Drosophila melanogaster: one gene and its partners. The protein of the gene in region 2 interacts with the protein of the main gene of each other region in a pairwise test. Each region holds a gene or a part of one and is shown on either strand. Other genes may lie near its edges. The genes, in order: CG7379, Lgr4 and CG11409.

Region 1 (5,656 bases), on a different chromosome or scaffold from region 2:
CAATTATATAATAAATTAAACATTTGATAAATATATCTTAAAATACATTGCTGTACATTTGTTAGTTAATAGAATTATAGGAAACATAATAAATATTTTAATATACTGTACAGTGCTCATACTCGCGTTTCAGTTTATATTCGATAGTCATCGATTATTTAGTATCATACACTTTTTAATTTTATAATCATAATATTTATTAAAATATTCTCATACTTTAAATTTGCAAACATTCTATTTACTGAAAATGTCTTCAATTTATTAAACATATCATAACTTTTCGCGATATATTTAACTAAATAAATATCGATAATTCCCTTTTTTACGCACGCATGGCAACCCTATTGCTCAAGCCGTTGTTGTTTTTCTAATTAAGCGATTATTATTTAAAAAAAGGTACGCCCACGCCCTAGAAACCAAAACAATCTGGACATTTTAAAAGGATATATCCAAGGTTAACCTTTAGAAGTAGCTATCAATTGAAAAGCAGAAGAAAATCATACATTTCGACTGCGTTTTCATTGACCAAAATATTTGGGCGTTGACGCTGTCACGCAAGCCAAAGAAATTTGAGATCGGAGAAGTTTGTTCATTGGTGTCTCCCGGTGTTTTCCCACAGCAACATGGTAGTGCTGAGCTCCTGCTGGTCGCCCATAATTTGGTCGGATAATGTCCGGACGGGAAGCTATGCCGTGGCCGGCTATACGGCTGCGCTATCCGCCGTAATGATCACGCTGATTTCGTATATGCTAGCAGGCGGGGAGTCTGCGCAGCTCTATTCCCCGCTCTTTGAGACGGATATACGTTCGTCGATGCCCGTGGCAGGTGGCTTCTTTATCATCTACTTCCTGCTAATCATCCTGTCTTCCTATTTGGTCTACTACGGTATTAAGATCAGGTAAGACGAGCTCTGGCTTCCTATATGTACGGATATAGTCATGCTTGCATCTGTTTCTCAGCACTCGAGGATGGCTGCTACCCTGGCTGGGTCTAATTGGACTAGCCATTCTCTTCCAGTTTAGCTGGAGCCTTTGGCTTATTGGAGGCTACTATATTTATGTGAGTAGCGATTATCTTTTCCATTAACTAAAGCTAATGAATTCGTGTTACTCTACCGCCAGCTGGAGCAAACCTTCTCGGCCCTTTTGAACTTCGTTTGGGTAGCCTACAATGTAAGTGTTTGAAATTCAAGGGACAGCAACACCAACTCCTGTATCATTATGTTTATAAACCCATTTTACTCATCCACTTAGATCTATTGCTGGCTGGTGGTCTTCTCGCAGTACCAGATATTCCTGGAGATCCAGAATCCGAACATTGAGCTGCTCATGCCATGATGGAAGAACCTCCATACAGAAGCTCGAATAATCTATTAGAATACTTTTTGACTTGACACGCAACAAGAACTCCGTCCATGCGCATTTTTTACAATAAGAATTCCATACAATTCCACAGATGCCTACCAAATAGTTTTATATAAATTTATATATTTTACACACATTTATACACGATCAATTATACTTATGTGTAATTCGAATGCCTTAGTCTTCTAAACGACAATTAAACAAATAGATTCGTAAAACTACTGCTACTGGATACGGGCTCCTTGGGGCCAAGAAATTATTGTGGGTTTTGAATATCAACGTTTATTACCATAAATTAAGTTTAGGTGTACTCTAATTATACGAGTTTTTGTGTGTTTACATTGAGAAAGATATTGTTTGTACAGAAACTTTAAATGAAAACTGACGACCTATAACCATAGAAGCGAGGGATCTAAACTGGGTGAAAGAGGGGAAAGTCGAAAAGGGATCGGGTCTAAGAAAGTCACTAAATATACATTAAGGTAAATCTTAGGATCGAATATTTTACAGAGCCTGGTGTTAGACACAGAGCAATGGGTTGGATAGGCTGGCCTAATAGACTAGGTCTTCTCCTCCTTTTCCTTGTTGTAGCGCTCCAGTTCTTTGAGGAACTGCGCCTTGGGTTTCATTACATTTGGCCGTTCTCCGCGGCAGTTGGGGCAGAACCACTTGCCTTTTGGTTTTAGTACCAGGGAGACGCACGAAAAATGGAACCACTCGATGGGGCACAGGTCATTGTCGCACAGGATCATCTCGCCAAAGGAGATCTGCAATAGAAAACGTGATTAGTGGCGAAGCTTTTCGATAGGAAAAGCACTGCGAACTCACCTGATTGCAGACACAGTAGGTCGGCTCGTCCGGATCAATGGTCTCCGGCGGCGGCGTCTCCTCTCGCGTACTGGCATTGGCATTTGAAGCCCCAGAACCGCGTACCTTGCGCTTTTTCTTCTTGCCGGAATTATTGCCACCAACTACGCCGGCTCCGCTGGCACCACCACCTCCGGCTGCTCCACTGCTCGTGGCTGCAGAGCCGCTAGCCAAACTGCCAGAAGCCGACTGCAGACTGGCCTTTCGTCCCTGTCCCGCTCCACTGGCACCGCCCAACGAGGATTTGCGCTCGCCACTGCCACCACCACTGCCACTGGCTTCATTTGCCGAGTTGGACTCGTTGCCGCCCATCTCCAGAGAGCTTCCGTTGTTAACAACACTCTCGTTTCGCCTCCTCGACCGCTTGCTACCTGTGCGCTGCAGTTCTCCGCCTCCTCCGCCGCTGGCATTGCCATTGGAGCCGCTGTTGCCACCATTACTGACATGGCTCGAGCGCTCCGAGTTGGGCGTTGAGCCGCCACCGTTGCCGGAGGTCATGGCATTAGAACCAGGCACAACACCACCTGCATAGCCGCCCAAGGCGTACAGATCTTTGGCCGAAAGCAGGCCGTTTCCATTTAGGCCACCGTTGCCAGTGCCCGCTTGGTTGCCCTGCTCCCTCATCGGGCTCTGCAGGCGTTGCAGCTTCGAAGGCGTGCCATCGTCCAGGAGCGCATACCGATCGCGGTCCTCCTTCAGGTCCAGGTTCTGCTGGTCGGTGTCCAGCTGGCGCAGCTTGCCGTCGATTATCTCCTGCATATGATTGACGATCTGCATTTTTTCGTCGCCCAGTTCCTGCGCCTGAATGAGACTCTGGTGCATCCTGGAGATGCTTCGAGACCGTCGCCCGGCATCCGCGGAGTTCTGCAGGGACAGATACAGGTCGTAGTAGTGGTCTACGTCGCGAATGAGGCCTGCAAATCGACGGGTTTGGACCAAGAGAGGAGGTTAGGTTTTCCGCTTTTCCAACAGGCGTAATCTCGGCCAGAACTCACCTCTGTACTGGACGTCTATGTCGCGGATGCGTGACAACTGGCGCTGCACGTCGTCCGGCAGATTTTCCACCGAATCGATATAGTTGTCCACATAGGTGGCCGAATTGATGGCCTCCGACTCGGATGCAATGGGGTTTATCATCGTGTTTGGACTGCGAATCGCTCTATTCCCGCCGCGACATCGGCTCGGGGACGTGGGTTCGGATGTGAGCTACTCTTCCGGCGCTCTGGAAGGGATCGGCTGGCTATATAGTACTCCGATTCCACTCAGTTCCAACTTTTTGTATGGCGTTGCGAGTCGCAACTTGCGACTGTACTCGTGTGTGCGTGTATGTGTGCGTAGGTATTATTTATATGTATGTATACAATGGGTGGTTGTGCTTTGCAACACTAGTCGGCTGGTGTTTTGCTACACTGAAATCGGGGTGGTTAACGGCACTGCTGTTTCGGTTGAATTTTTTAATAAATAAGTAATATTGGTTTTAATAGTTTGTGGTCAAATATCTTCTCATCATTTCCCTAGGCAATAGAAAGTATTAAAAATATTTTCCCTTTAAATACAAATTTAATTATTACTTTCAGTCCTTTTTTTGTATTCATTTTATTACAATTATCGTAATTTTAAAATCATGTATCATTCATTCAACGGCCAGTGTAGGAAACGTTCAAAACCAACCCCTTACTCATTTGCCCGGGAAACTGGAGAATTTCAAATAACAGTATCAGCTGATTTTTTAATTAGGAAAAACAAATGCACTTATATTATTTTTTAATTGATTATTATTTAATATTAATAATATAAATATTTATTGTTCCTTTCATGAAACATACGTCTGAACTATTCAGATTTGTATTTAGGTTGTCAAGTCTATTCTTCATTAAGCTTAACGTTATTAAATGCATAATACTATTATACGAATTATATATTTTTAAAATATTGTTCGTGCATTATCTTCTATGTCGGCACTTACTAAACGTCACCTTAGAAGTATTACGTACTTCGCCATGAAAGTATATAAATTTTTATAAAAATTATATATATTCAATAGTTTGAGTCTTTTCATCCTGAGTTCTGGCTCGCACTTCCTGTGCATTTGGCTGCATTGGTGTTTGAGATTCAAAGTCCATTTCCTTATCAATATCTTTAAATGCTTGTTGCAGTCCATTAACTTCTTCTTTTATAGCTTTCTGCATATTATCCCGATGCAAATCGGTGTTTTTGTGTTTGTTTAGATTATATCTATGGCGGTAGTGAACATCGCAGATCTCGCACCTGGCAATATAAATCAAGTAAAGAAATAAGTAAACGGACAGTAGTCGGGATTCTCTTTTGCACCCACCGATGAGGATGCATTCCTGTGTGTACATCCTGATGCTTTGTTAGTTGGGAGCGCAGCAGGAATCCCTTTAGGCAGATGTCACAGCGAATGGGAAACTTGTCGTGCAAAGCTTGATGTCGTTTCATGGCAGATGGGTCAGCGAATTTCATCTGGCAAATCTTGCACTGGAAGGGTCTGCTTCCGTTGTGGAAGTTCATGTGCAGGACTAGACCTTTCTTGCTGGTATAACTTTTGGTGCACTGGGTGCAGTAATGGCGACTGGATCCCTCTTCCTTTGATTTCACCCGCGTTCGAATCCGATTGCCTGCTCCGTGAACATCCCTGGAGTCAATCGAAGTGATTAGATGATGGAACCATCAAATAGTAGGTGCACTCACCTCTCGTGCCTGTGACGACTGCTTGCGTTTGCGAAGGACTCATTGCAATGGTTGCAGGGAAAGGGATGCTCGCCCTTGTGCAGCGCTCTTACGTGAATGTTGCGCGTATAGAGATCGTAGAATTTCTTCGGGCATTCGGGGCACTCGAAATTCTTGGCCCTATTGTGACGGAGCAAGTGCATCTGCAGCTGACTGCGTTGGCGAAAGGTGTGGCCGCACTTGTCGCAGACATAGTTCAATGGCTTCGCTTGTATCCTTTCGCGGCGCCTTCGGTTTTTCTCCTCTGGACTCACCCTTAGTTGAGGTTTCTTTGGTAGTGAAAGCGAATACTTTGGTGCAGTTTCCTTTAGGCTATTGTACTCACCGAGCACAACCTTATAGACCTTGGCTCCGTGATCTACCTTACCAATCTCTTCCTTAGTCTTACACTTTCGTATGCTAATTATTTCATTACATGACTTGTTTTGCTCCAAAGCAAAGTCTTTTTCTGTGTCTCTGTCTAGATCCAACTCATCTTCACTTAGTGAAAACTGAGTTGGCTCTGCATCCAGTGGAAAGTCGTCTTCATCCAGGACACCCTCACTATCCGGCAACAACTCTGAGCTGAAATCTTCTAGTCCTACGACTCCCTTTGCCTGCTGGGCGGACTCTTCGTAGAGCACATTTTCCAGCTCCGACTCCATTTCCTCGTCACAGATTTGAATGTTGTACTT
Region 2 (6,106 bases):
ACTTCAGTTGAGATAGGTACATAGAGTTTCAAGGGCCAGAGCTTTATACTCATTTTGCACTGAAACTAAATGTCATGTATTTGTGCATTGCATTAAAAAAAAAAAAAAAAAATGAAATCCCAATTTTTGTTGCACGCTTCACCATTTTCTTTGATGGCAAAATGTGTTTTCACTTCATTAGCGAGCTGCGCCTTTCTGCAGGACTTCAGATCCCTCGGGATTTCCGTTTGCCACCCAAATAGAGGAATTGATCCATTCGCATTTCAATCATATAAGAGCTATGTATATGACCCCGCCCCAATCACAAACCCAATCCACTTTCCATTCGGGGTTTTCCCGGCCCATTCCGTTTTATCCTCGCTTTTTTCTCGCCAATCATTCAGAACGCCTAACATGTCCGCTTCGGATTTAGAATAAGATGCCTTGAGGCCTCAACGGCTGAACGCTGAACACCACGAAACACTTCCGAGTGAACCCCTAATGAGGCATAACCTTTATGGCGGGCACTGTACTGTCATTGCCGCCACCATTGGCAATTCAATTATGCGACGCCTCAAAAAAGAACACCACAAAATTATATGTATGGATTACTTGATCAACTTAAAAGCCCGAGTGGATCTGGACTGGACCCACGCTCCGAAACTTGATAGTGGGCCTTCAATTCATTGGCCCTCTGGAAATTGGACATCGGACGTCGGATGTCGTGGGCATCGATTAGCGTACGCCGGATAATGATACGGACACGGATACGGATACGGACATGGACGGGGATGCTTAGCAATCTGGGGACACTCGAAAAAATATGTTAGTGTAAAATTTGGAAATTTAAAAACAATAAAGATGAAAAATTGATAGTGTTTTAAAAAACAGGTCAGTTCATTTCCTTAAAATGGGATGTATGTATGTACATTTATGTATCTTTCTATTTACTTATTTATTTATTTACATATTTCGTATCTAGTACCCATGCACATGGTACTAGACCCAAACTCTCTGTTAAACTGTACACATATTTATTCGAGTGTGCGACTAGATGCTAATGGATCCGCTGCAGTGCACCCACATGCGGACCAACTGAAACTGTAGAACCGCCGTCCCATAAATAACGATTGCTGGCCGTATTCAAATTACCTAAAGGCGGAATACCGAAGTTGGTTGCAAAATGGGTATATGGGTATATGGGGATTATTACTCCAGAGCCATATCCGCATATTTTCGGTTGGCATTTGCCCGCCGGCGACAAGTGCTTAAGTGGCAAATCGCCAGGCTTCCACTTACACAGTTACGAAAAATCGAGGGGGCGAATTCAAAAGAAAAACAATTGTGGGCCACGCACTTTAACCCTTTCGATTTAAGAGTTCCGCTACCTGAGTTACAATTTGTTATTTCCGTTTCGCCAGGGTTCCTTTACCCAGCTTAAGCTTTGTAACTAGGATAATGTCTTACGAAGGACACAACATAGCGTTTTGAAGGAAAATCAACAGCAATTAACACTGGGCCAATTGGTAACTAGAATTTCACATTTTTCTCATACCCTGGCCATCGATATGCAATCCCGTTTTCGTTAATTAGAGTGGTTGCCTTAAATATAATATCATACAATTAAAGAAAGTACAAAATGTTTGTACTTTTAAAGATATGTTGAATATTTTCCATATTTTGCCAGTGGATACAGGAAAACGTAACTAAATGCCATCATTAAACAATCCCGCGACTAAGCTTATAATAAATACAGAAAGAAAAAAAAAACTAATAATTACCCCAAGCAGCTTACGCAAATAGTTTTGGTGAATTTAATAGAATTTGAAGGGGGGGGATGTTGAAGGGAGACTACCCCCACTTAATTGACACATTCCACTTGGTTTTCGGTGGCTCATTAAAAGATGTGGTTTGTGGGGTGGGACTAGACAAATAATCCCCGTAGCCAGGGCGCTAGCTATATATATATATATATATATATATATGTCTATATATAATATATGTATGTATATATTTGTGCTATATAGTGGGGATGAACGGATTTGTCTAAGCTGCCAACGCAGTTACAACTAATAACACAACTTTGGGGCACCAAGCGTTGTCAGGTCAGCGCCCAGTTTTCTGGCCACCGGAACCACAAGGAGACCGGTGGGCTCCCATTCTGGGCCACCCTAGTCCACCCTGGACCAGTGCAGACCACCCTTTCAACTTTTCCAAACCGAACATATCCTTCTCGCCTAGGCATTTGCAATTCATTCGGGCACATAAATCTAAACGGCACCACGCACTTACACTTAATGACATTTTATTACAAAATTTTTACACAGACCCATCGATCGACAGAGATAGAAATAGACATTGCCGGCACTGGGAGCGACAGAGATGGCGCAAAATACCAGACATTGAGGCGTCAGCTCCATTTTAATAACATAAATTAATATGCAAATTGGAACAGAATTTTAATTGAAAATCGTTTCGATACAAATACAAATTCGGTGCATTTTTCGAACCGCCCAACGCGAATTCCTGTCAATCATCAACATTTTGATTGGATTGTGTAAAATGTTTTGGCATAATGATTTTACATTTTTACACCTAAGAAAACCTGCATCATTTCTATATGTATATTCCAAAAATTCGTAGCATTTCTTTGTATGCCTTAAATAGTTTCATTTATTTATTTGCAAACTCTTTCAGTACTCTTATTATATAACTTTAAACATAAAAAAAAAATTGAGCAACGCACCGGCAAAAAAAAGAAAAACTTTTGTATCTAATGCACTTTTTATTCGCGGACATTTATGTTTTCTCGAGCTCAAACTTTATTCGAAAAACTTCTTGGTGCCCTTTGAACTTTGTCAAACATCCAGAACTTTCATCACTTTTGCACCTTTTCGTGCATATAACTTTTGGAATTTCTTTGTAAAATTATTTCATTTTCGAAAGTTTTGGCTTGTATACTTTTTGCCATCACTATCCATTTAAAAAATGTTCAAGCCTGTATTCGATTTCATGCCATTTTTCTCAATGATTTTTTTTTTTTTTTGTATTCTTTATGTTGTCTTAGCTTTAATTTCAATTTGAATCCAAACTTGAAATACCCTCCTATATATACATATATGTATATTTCATATGAATTTCCTAAAGGTAGCACACTTAAATTATAAACCCTCAATTATCGCATGGATAACATTCACACAACCATCGAAAATCCCAGGCACTTTCACATCCGCAGATGGTCAATATCTTGGCCGGGTTTATTATTTCGATTCGCGTTAAAATGCCACACAAACATTGCGAATAAAGTAGATAAAAACCTATACACATTGGAATCGGGGGATATCTGGCATCTCTCTATAACTGCACCGATAAATATACACACAAACAAAAAAAGGGGTATTGTTTATTATTCCGGGACGTACGCATGATCGCTATTGACATCCAGGGAGTTCTTCGCTTTTTTTTTCTTCCACCGTCTCAACGGGCAATAAACAATATTTAATTATAGACTCTGATGGGCACAGCACAAAAAAAAAACAAAAAAAAACCAAAAAGAATCAAAATCAAAATAAAACTTCGCCGCACTTCAATGTGTAAGATCGCGGATCGGTGGATCCAAAAATATATATGCGCGGTATATAGTCGGAATATAGTCGATTTTTGGTCCGCAGCAGACGCGCGTTCGCCGCCAACGATAACAAACAACTGAGCTGAAAAAAAGGCGAGCGAATGCCTGCAACATGTGGCATGCGGCCTTTCCAGGTGCCCCGCCCACTGGCGCCGCCCAGCCGACCGCCCAACCGCCCACTTTTCACCCAACCAAGCACACAACGCACTCATTCAGCGCGCCGGCTGGCAATTTATGAATGAAAAGCTGAACGGGAAAAGCTCCAAAGAAACCAACGAACGCCAAGTTCAAGGTGAAAAGCCCTTTGGGGGAAAAGCGCGCGCCGGAAAAGCTCAGGAAATGAAAATGCGCCGAGCCAAAGGGAATTTCCTAATGAAATTCAAATAGATAATATGTATGTGCCAAAAGGAAATAAACTAAGATATTATGTCTATATCTCGCATATACTTTGCAATAGAATTAGTTATTTAAATTATTTATTATATTTATTATTATTACGCAATAAATAAACGATCTGTTCAATTTTTCGATAAATAACTTATTTAATAGCAACATAATTTACAATACAAGTAGAGCACAAATGAACGAAGGCTTAAAAAAAAAAAACAAAAAAAAATTTGAAAAGATCCCTAGGTGGAGTGAGTGGTGGACTCAGTAGTGGTGGTAGTTGTGGCCCTGTTGCTGCTGTTGCTGCTGCTGCTGCTGCTGCTGGTGCTGCTGCTGCGCCAAGTTGGCCTGGGCGAAAATGTGCTCCAGCTCGGCATCGGTCAGCTGGTCAAAGATGCCGCCCTGACCACCGATTCCGGCACTACTGGCACTCAGGGCCGACGGTTGGGATCCCACGGGTGGCAGGTAACCTGGAAAATATTCGTTTGAAATATAGCATAATAATATATATCCATAACGTCATCTGAGCTCACCTTCAGCTGGCGCACTTCCGTATGGCGGGAGCAGGGTGATCGAGGGTCGATTCGGCGACGCTGGCGCGGATTCGGTGGGTGGACTATAGAATACCGGCTTCCAGGGCTGCTGGACGGATGGCCGCTGTGGTGGCACCTCCGACGGCGTCTCCGGCTCGGGTGATTGTGGGGGAATCTGCGGCGAGGCTATACCCGTGCCGGATTCAGGGCGGACGGGAGTGGAGCCCGGCAGCGGTACAATTCCGCCGGGGAATTGCGACTCTGGTTGGCCAAAAGTGGGTGGCTGCTGCGGCAATGGTGGCTGTGGAGCAGCCGGAAAGAATTGGCTAGTTGGTGGACTGGGGAAGGCCGGGACCGTGGGTACAGCTGGAACTCCTGGAACGGAGGGAGGTGATGGAATGGCTGGCGCCTGGGGGAACTGGGGAATCTGGGGAAAGCCGGGAAATTGAGGGAATCCGGGAAATTGTGGTATTTGGGGTATCTGCGGTATGGCCGGAATCTGTGGAATGGCGGGAACCTGTGGCACTTCTGGGGCTTCTGGTGCAGCTGGAACTGCCGGCTGGGCGGGCACAGCGGGTTGGGCTGGCACCGCTGGCTGAGCGGGCTGGAAGCTAAAGGTCGGCACACCGGGGAACTGAGGCGGTTGTGGGAACTGAGGGATCACCGGCAAATCCACAGCTGGGGGAGACGGAACACCGAAGGTCACTGTAGGTTGGATGGGTTGAACCGGTTGAAGGGGCTGAACCGGTTGGATTGGGCTAACTGGCTGCAGATGGGTGGTCACCGGTTGCACCGGTTGAAGGGGCTGAATGGGCTGGAGATGATGAACTGGCTGCACTGGCTGCACGGGCTGAACAGGCACTGCCGGAGCAGTCGGAGCATAGGTCTGCACATAAGTGGGCTGCAACAGAAAAGAATGAAATGGTCAACGGGATATTCCACAAGTTTCCTATGTAGCTAACTCACCTGCACGGCATGCACATGGCCATGAGCCGGAGCATGGAAGTGGACAGGCTTTACGGCGGACTGAAAGACCACGGGCTTCTGCAGGTGCTGGTGCGGATAGTTGACGCTGTACGAGGAGACGACCGCATTTCCGGGACGCAGGACGTACGAGGGCGGAGCCACGGCGGTGGACAAAGCGGTGGCCACGCCGGTGGACAAGGCAGTAGCGACTCCGGCGGGAATGGCACTGGCCACGCCACCGGGCAGACCGGTGGGCAATCCAACGGGCAGGGCTGAGGCGACGGCGGGCAGCAGGGCAGCGGGTGCGGGAGCTAAGGCGGGCAGCAAACCGGAACCGGAAACGAGCGGCTTGACCAGACCATGGCCGTATTTGACGAAGTGGCGGCGCGGAGGAGCGGCGGCCAGGAAGGCACTGCCTCCTGGCAGCTGCAGGCTATAGCCGTAGTGGGCGGCATAGGTGCGGGCGGGCCATTGGCCGTGCAGGTGGGCGTGGCCGTGTAGAATGCCACGCTTGTGCTTTCCGGTCGTGACCTCCACTTCCGTTTCCGGTTCGGTAACCACACTGGCCGTTGGGGCACTCTCCGCCACCGATTCCTCTTGTAGCGGGGCATCC
Region 3 (6,532 bases), about 12 Mb from region 2:
GTTTCGTTTTCGGTCTCAATCGCATGCGCGGCCTGCAGACCATTTTCAATGAGCGTTCGCAGCGTACTGAACCCGGCCGAAAGTCGTCTTGGCCAACTTCGCTGCTGCTGCTGCTGCTGCTGCTGCTGCTGCTGCCGCCGCAGCTGCTGGTGCTGCTGCTGCGGCTTATGCTGCTACTACCGCTTTTGCTGCGGCGATCTGGCTCTTTAGAAGTCGGGGCTAGAAAACACTGGATGCTGAGTGCTTTGATTAGATGCATCCATTTAATCCCATTTGAAATGCATGGCATAAACTTACATTTCGTAGCCTAGATTCGGTGCTCCAACTTGCTGGCCTCACATATACGATACCATCTATTAGGCTCGCTTGGAGCCATTACATAAATTGGTTCATTGTAAAAACACACTTAACACAAAGCAATTTAAAAAGGCATGTTAATGCACGTCATGTGCCGACACTCGTACTATACTAGACTGTTATATGTACTGCAATAACATTTGAAATAGTAACCATACGGCTCAAGCTTGCATTGAGTTAAACTATTTTGCTGCAGATTGAACGATTTTAGCACCTAATAATAACGAGGCCTCATCTCGAATGATTGGCATGACATAGCGATAGCAGATTGCTAGTTGGCTGGTTCTTTAAGTACTGCCCTGGGCAACGCAGGGTGCAGCGCTCTGGCGCCGAAGTCTCAATTAAAAATCGATTTGGCTTAGAAGACATTTTTGGGAGGGATTACGATCGCGACGCGAGGCCGGTCGTGGTAACCGCTGATCGCCCAGCTCCCATCAAATCGGTTGATCGCCGGTTAAAAGTGGCTGGCTTGCCTTGACCAAGTACACTGCGAACGATGATAAGACGGAGCATGGCTCTGGCCAGGGAAGGTGAACAGGTAAACAGCACTCTGCCGTGGATGCAGACGGGTTTCTGCTAGCGCACGGGCATTTCACTTCGGCCAGCTTCTTTCCCCCATTGACAAATTCGATTGGTTCGGTTTTCTCTGGCTTTCTGCTGCTGCGCCCCGCAATGTAGCGGACTAATATTGGTTTGGTTTTTATTACCATGTGGTCTCTGCTCTGCTCCGCTCCGCTTGCATAATAAAACTCACGCACAAGGAGCGCGGCCAGCCATGGTCTGTATATAGCCGTTCAACGATCGAAGACCGTCGATGGGCCTCAATGAACTCGGGCTCCAGTGCTTCCCATCGCTGCCACTCGATCGCTCTGATCCCTCCGGACTTCAAGTGGACCGGCCGGGAAAATCCATTGGGTTTGCAAAACATGAGAGTTCTGTCTTATCTTACGATTACTGCTACAAATTTAAAGACGCAGTTAAACCTAGTTTCTCAATAGGGCCACACACAGGCCACAAACGTTGGGCTCATTTTGCGCTTGGCACGTTTTGCTCGAAATAATTAAAACGATTTTTGGTTATTTGTAACATTTGCCATTTGCACACAACGGTGTTTACCGCCTCGCCGCAAAAAAGGGAGGCTGAGGCTGCTTTTTTGTGTGTGACAACATTTGACACAATTTAACGCTGACGCGACACATTCGTCTGCGGTTTTAGTTTGCTTAGCTCAGCTCGAGCCGCATGCCTTATGCTTCACTTAAGTTGTTTTGGGATGGGTAAGGTACATAGGTGGAACTAGGGGTAGGGTTTGGCCAGGTGCTTCACATTTGGAGCGCATGCGCTTTGACTTTGCCATTTGCGCACACTCGCAGCATTGCGACACGGCAAACAACAAAGCCCCAAAGGAAACCGAACTAAAACAACCAAAAATATATAAACGAAAACTCAGAAAAATTACGAAGCCCATAACTCTTGACATGACACGGCCAAATGCTCGGGAGAATGGAGTGGGGCTCGGCTTGGAGCTATGGAACTATGGAGCTATGGAGCATCGCGCAAAAAGTGAATTGCTTTAATGCGCCGTGGATGTGCAAAATAAAATTGGTCAAATACCCAGGTCGCAGGCCAAATACCCTAATACCCTTAGGTGGCCTTAGCATACGTAGCTCTTGACTTATAGAACCAACTTCACTGACGAACCAACTGACAATGCTATGTCCGTTGGCTGGGGAGCCGCCAGTTACCATGATCAACCGACACAAAAAATATAGTTTAAAACAAGAAGTCCATGCCATTGTGGCCAAACTGCATATATCATTTCGTCACGTGGGTGCTAAGTGCTAAATTGTATCTCTATCTTTTAGAGATCTCCGCCAGCAAGGTGATAAGGCGTTGGCTGCGGCACCTGTCCGCTCCCGCTCTCTCCCCTTTCTTCGTTACCCTTTCTCCGCCACTGCTTTTACTTTATTCGGCCATTCACTTTCTCCGTATGTTGTTTGCTTTGCTAATTTTGGATTTGCCCGCGTCACTGCAGCAACAGCGAAAAGTGAAACAGACGTCCAGAAAAACGGACGCCAACTTGCGCTTGCAAGTTCGTATGCAAAATTTCAAGAAATTATCCAATCGCGTGGCTCGGATTATTCAATTTCAGTCAATCAAATTCAAGTCCAATTCCGTATGCAAAGTAGGCTATGCTGGTCCGAAAGCAGATCGAAGATCGAGACCGCCTGGCCTCCCCAGCCGATTTCGTCACCAGCTAGTGCTGATGTAGTCCCAGTTCTGGGGGCAGCCAGCCCAACTGAGAGGCAACGACATCGGCCATGCCGAGTTCGTTCGTTACCCAAGTCTTTCGATTATGACGTTGGGAGGAGCTGGAGTCCCCATCAAAGCGACGGGCTATAACGCTAAAACAGTCGACTGATTGCCGTCGTTAAAAATCCACAAAATTGACAGCAAACGGCAGGCGGATTTCTCCTGGCAGTTACCACATACATATGTACATACATTGTAAAATCAGGGGTTATATTTTCATTTGACTCGAAACCTTTGCAAGTTCCGAATAATCCTGCGTTCTCAACCAAGACAAACGGCAAGGAAAGTGGAGGAAGTGCAGATCTCAGGAAACTGCGGATTAGTGACTTATGTGACTTATATGATTCGAGATTGTAATTTGGTTTTATTGCATTTGATTTAGCTGTAATTTATGGATTTTATTTTATGGCGAATGCTAATGGCGCGAAAAGGAAACCAAAAGTAGGCGAAGGTCGCACTGCAGAGTTATTAATTAGTACAACTGAATTTAACTAGTAACTTACCAATTGAAGAACGTTTTTAATAGTTTGGAAATCACAAAACAAAAGAGACAAAAAAATAAGCGCAGGAGAAAACACGCACGTACACACAAACACACACACGTATACTTTTAAATGGCGAGTGTAAGTGAACATACGTTTCGAGCAATTTATTGGACTTCCATCCGTTTTCGGGTAACATTTCGATGCTACTCATTGCCACGACATGCACTTAATTATAACTAACACTTCAAACTGATTTGCAGCACTTTTTTCAAACAAAAGTCCCGTAAATCAAAAATCTTTACGCCGTAAAATAGTTGCTTCTTCTTTAAGAAGAAAAGGAAGAACAAGAAGAGAACTTTGAAATGAGCAGCTTCTTCTTCTTATTATTGATCCTCTTTTCCGTTATGTACAGCACACCCTCGCAAAAAGGCACAAGCTGACGATCTAATTTGGCAAAAGTATTGCAAATACAAATAAGTTAACATTCCAAAGTCAGAAATTAAATGGCAGCTATAAAGAATATAGGTATGAGAATATTACGTTTAAAGATTGTAATAATATTACAAAGATCAAATCTAATCAAATATCAAATATATGAACATTTGCGATGTAAGGTGCATGCCAAATATAAATTTGATAAAATCAACGTAGTTTTAGATTTTATTTAATATAATTTTTAAATATTTTCATTAATCTTAGCTGTTAATTTAATAGTAATAATATCAATTGATAATTCGATAGCCGATAGTCACAGTTGGCCGGCGATGATTGTATCGATAGTATCGAGTGCCAATCGATTGCTGTTACAGCTGTTCGCGCATATGTGTGGGTGGGATTTATTCATAGCAAGGAAAATTACGAGTTTTGCGGATATAGGATTTTACATAAGTTTGCCATGCACACGCACTAGCGCCACAAATCGAGATCGGATTGATCGATCCGGAACTCCGAATATCGGAAGCACAACAAAGAGGACGGCCGACTGCCCCATGTGTGCGTGCGCGAGTGTGTGAGTATGTGCGTGAGCGTGTGCGTGTGCGTGTGAATGAAAAACCATCAACTGTGAAAATATAACCAAAAATAAGTCCGAGGCACACGGTTGCAGGCGAGGATTACCAGTCCTCCCAGATAAGCCCCGGAGGAGCAGCAGGTTCCCTCTTAGAGCCAATTCCGTCGCTTTTCAGAATGGCGGATGCCCAGGCAGCGGCGGCCGGAAAGAAGAAGTACAAGAACAAAAAGAACTCAGCGGAGAAGAACCCCAATCACAATCCAAATTCCAGTGGCCAGGTGGAGGCACAGACACCCAGCAATGGACACGTTCAGCACCAAGAGGAGGAGGCGACGGAAGACCAGGAGCCAGCGCAGGAACTCAGAGGCCTGCTTAAAAAGATGCACCTTTGCAATGGCCATGGTCACAAGGAGCAGGAGGCTCGGCCGCTTGGGGAGGTCGTCAATGGCCATGCACATGGGCACAGCAACAACAATCACATTCGCTGCACAAGCGGCAGCAGCAACAACAACAACAGCACTCACAACAACAACAGCGTGGACAGCAGCAACAACAACCGCAAGCAGCGAAGAGAAGGAGGCGACGGCGGAGGATCGGATTCGAACTCCCTCAAACCGGAGGAGAAGCCCATAACAGCCACAAGCAAAACCACTGCCAACATACACCCAACCACAACGACGGACCCAAAACCAAAAGTGTCGGAGGATGTAGCTGTGGAACAGGGAGTGCATGTGGCGACGGGGAGTGGCCACAGTCGGGAGCAGGAGAGGAAGCAACCGCCCTCCGACTATGCAGAGGGGGCCACGCCCACCATTACAGCACAGCTCCAACTGCCGGAACCTGCCATTTCAGCCGACGAGATCGTATATAAGGAATACGAGGCTGAACACCAAATGCATGTGAGTACCTCCAAGTATGACCAAGTGCGAACTGTGCGCAACACTTATCTAATTCCCCGCATATCGAACACGCAGGACATCATGCGACTGATCCAGGCGGAGCTGTCCGAGCCGTACTCGATATACACGTATCGCTACTTCATCTACAATTGGCCAAAACTCTGCTTCCTCGCCTCGCACGACAATCAGTACGTGGGCGCCATCGTGTGCAAGCTGGATATGCACATGAACGTGCGGCGCGGCTACATCGCCATGCTGGCCGTGCGCAAGGAGTATCGCAAGCTCAAAATCGGCACCACGCTGGTCACCAAGGCCATAGAGGTAGGATGTCTGGGGCATCTTTCCCTTGCAATAAGTTATAAATCGGGTTGCATGTAATCGATGCTCGATATGTGTGTTACGGAACAATTATGTGTTGTTAACTATGGATGAAATTGCCATCAAAGCTCACCAATGGCTCCTCGAGCCTCGAGGTATACTTTCGGGCACATTGGCGAGGGATACATACCAACTACCTCTCTTTCTGTGAAAACTTATATCACACTGCAATTTTCCCATTTGCAGGCAATGCTGGCCGACAATGCCGACGAGGTGGTGCTTGAGACGGAGATGCGTAACCAGCCGGCTTTGCGGCTCTACGAGAACTTGGGCTTCGTGCGAGATAAGCGGCTGTTCCGCTACTATCTTAACGGGGTGGACGCGCTGCGGCTGAAGCTCTGGTTTAGATGAGTGGACCCGGCGGCTGCCGTTGAAATTGTTGTCTAAGTAGCCGCCGAAGATGTCGAGATCTGCGCTCTGCGGAGGACCAGGGCGCTCCCCTCGTCCTGGGTCCTGGCCAGCTGGCAGCTTGTATCGGCGCCCTCTTTTTTGTACCTATTTAACTAGGAAGCATCGTAGCATCAGTTTATTTTCTCCCCAACTCACACCGTCCCTTGTCTCTCTTTCATTTGTAAATTATTTTATTATGTAGCAGCAGCAGTACGAGCAACATCTGCTACATATGCAGGAGCAGCACGAGCAGCACACAACGGACCCGAAATTTGGTTAATTTTACAGGAGGCAATTTTGTATGCAATACGTGATTTACATGCATAAAATTAAGCATTAAAGTCGTAAGCAAGCAATTAGTTATGTACATTAAACAATCTACAAAAACCAATCTAGGGAATAGACAACAACATGAAGCAGCAGCGCAGCACACGCTCATCGACGCCCATTTACAAAGCTATAAACATAGTATCAAATTTTGTAAAAAGATCAATCAAAGCGATGATCGCGCAAGTCGAACGATAAACTCGATCATGTATATCAAAATAAACGCAATTGGAACCAAGAGCTGAGAACAGACACACAAAAATGCAGCCTCATATGCATACTTGTATACAAACCTTCAATGGGTGGATGGCGGTGGTCCTCGCGGCTAAGAAAACTCGCCATCTGGTCTTAAGTAACCTCTCTGTGCTCTCCAGAAA

The links.
Region 1: the proteins of Lgr4 (region 2) and CG7379 interact in a two-hybrid assay, tested with the Drosophila melanogaster proteins (one large-scale study listed by BioGRID).
Region 3: the proteins of Lgr4 (region 2) and CG11409 interact in a two-hybrid assay, tested with the Drosophila melanogaster proteins (one large-scale study listed by BioGRID).

Annotation. Positions count from the first base shown.
Region 1 is NT_033777.3:17,794,742-17,800,397, forward strand, and holds CG7379 (uncharacterized protein), read right to left. Parts: upstream 3,564-5,656; 5' UTR 3,369-3,563; coding exon 3,227-3,368; intron 3,146-3,226; coding exon 2,193-3,145; intron 2,132-2,192; coding exon 1,925-2,131; 3' UTR 1,635-1,924; downstream 1-1,634. Other genes in the region: pasi1 (pasiflora 1), read left to right, coding at 624-898, 960-1,059, 1,122-1,172, 1,254-1,337; CG17803 (uncharacterized protein), read right to left, coding at 4,259-4,499, 4,567-4,887, 4,944-5,656.
Region 2 is NC_004354.4:13,185,509-13,191,614, forward strand, and holds the start of Lgr4 (Leucine-rich repeat-containing G protein-coupled receptor 4), read right to left. Parts: upstream 3,657-6,106; 5' UTR 3,421-3,656; coding exon 3,402-3,420; exon of another isoform or gene 3,307-3,401; coding exon of another isoform or gene 3,297-3,306; intron 1-3,296. Other genes in the region: CG12723 (uncharacterized protein), read right to left, coding at 4,259-4,464, 4,528-5,428, 5,494-6,106.
Region 3 is NC_004354.4:1,338,155-1,344,686, forward strand, and holds the start of CG11409 (uncharacterized protein), read right to left. Parts: upstream 3,434-6,532; 5' UTR 3,171-3,433; intron 69-3,170; exon of another isoform or gene 1-68. Other genes in the region: Naa30A (N(alpha)-acetyltransferase 30 A), read left to right, coding at 4,338-5,060, 5,136-5,381, 5,625-5,789.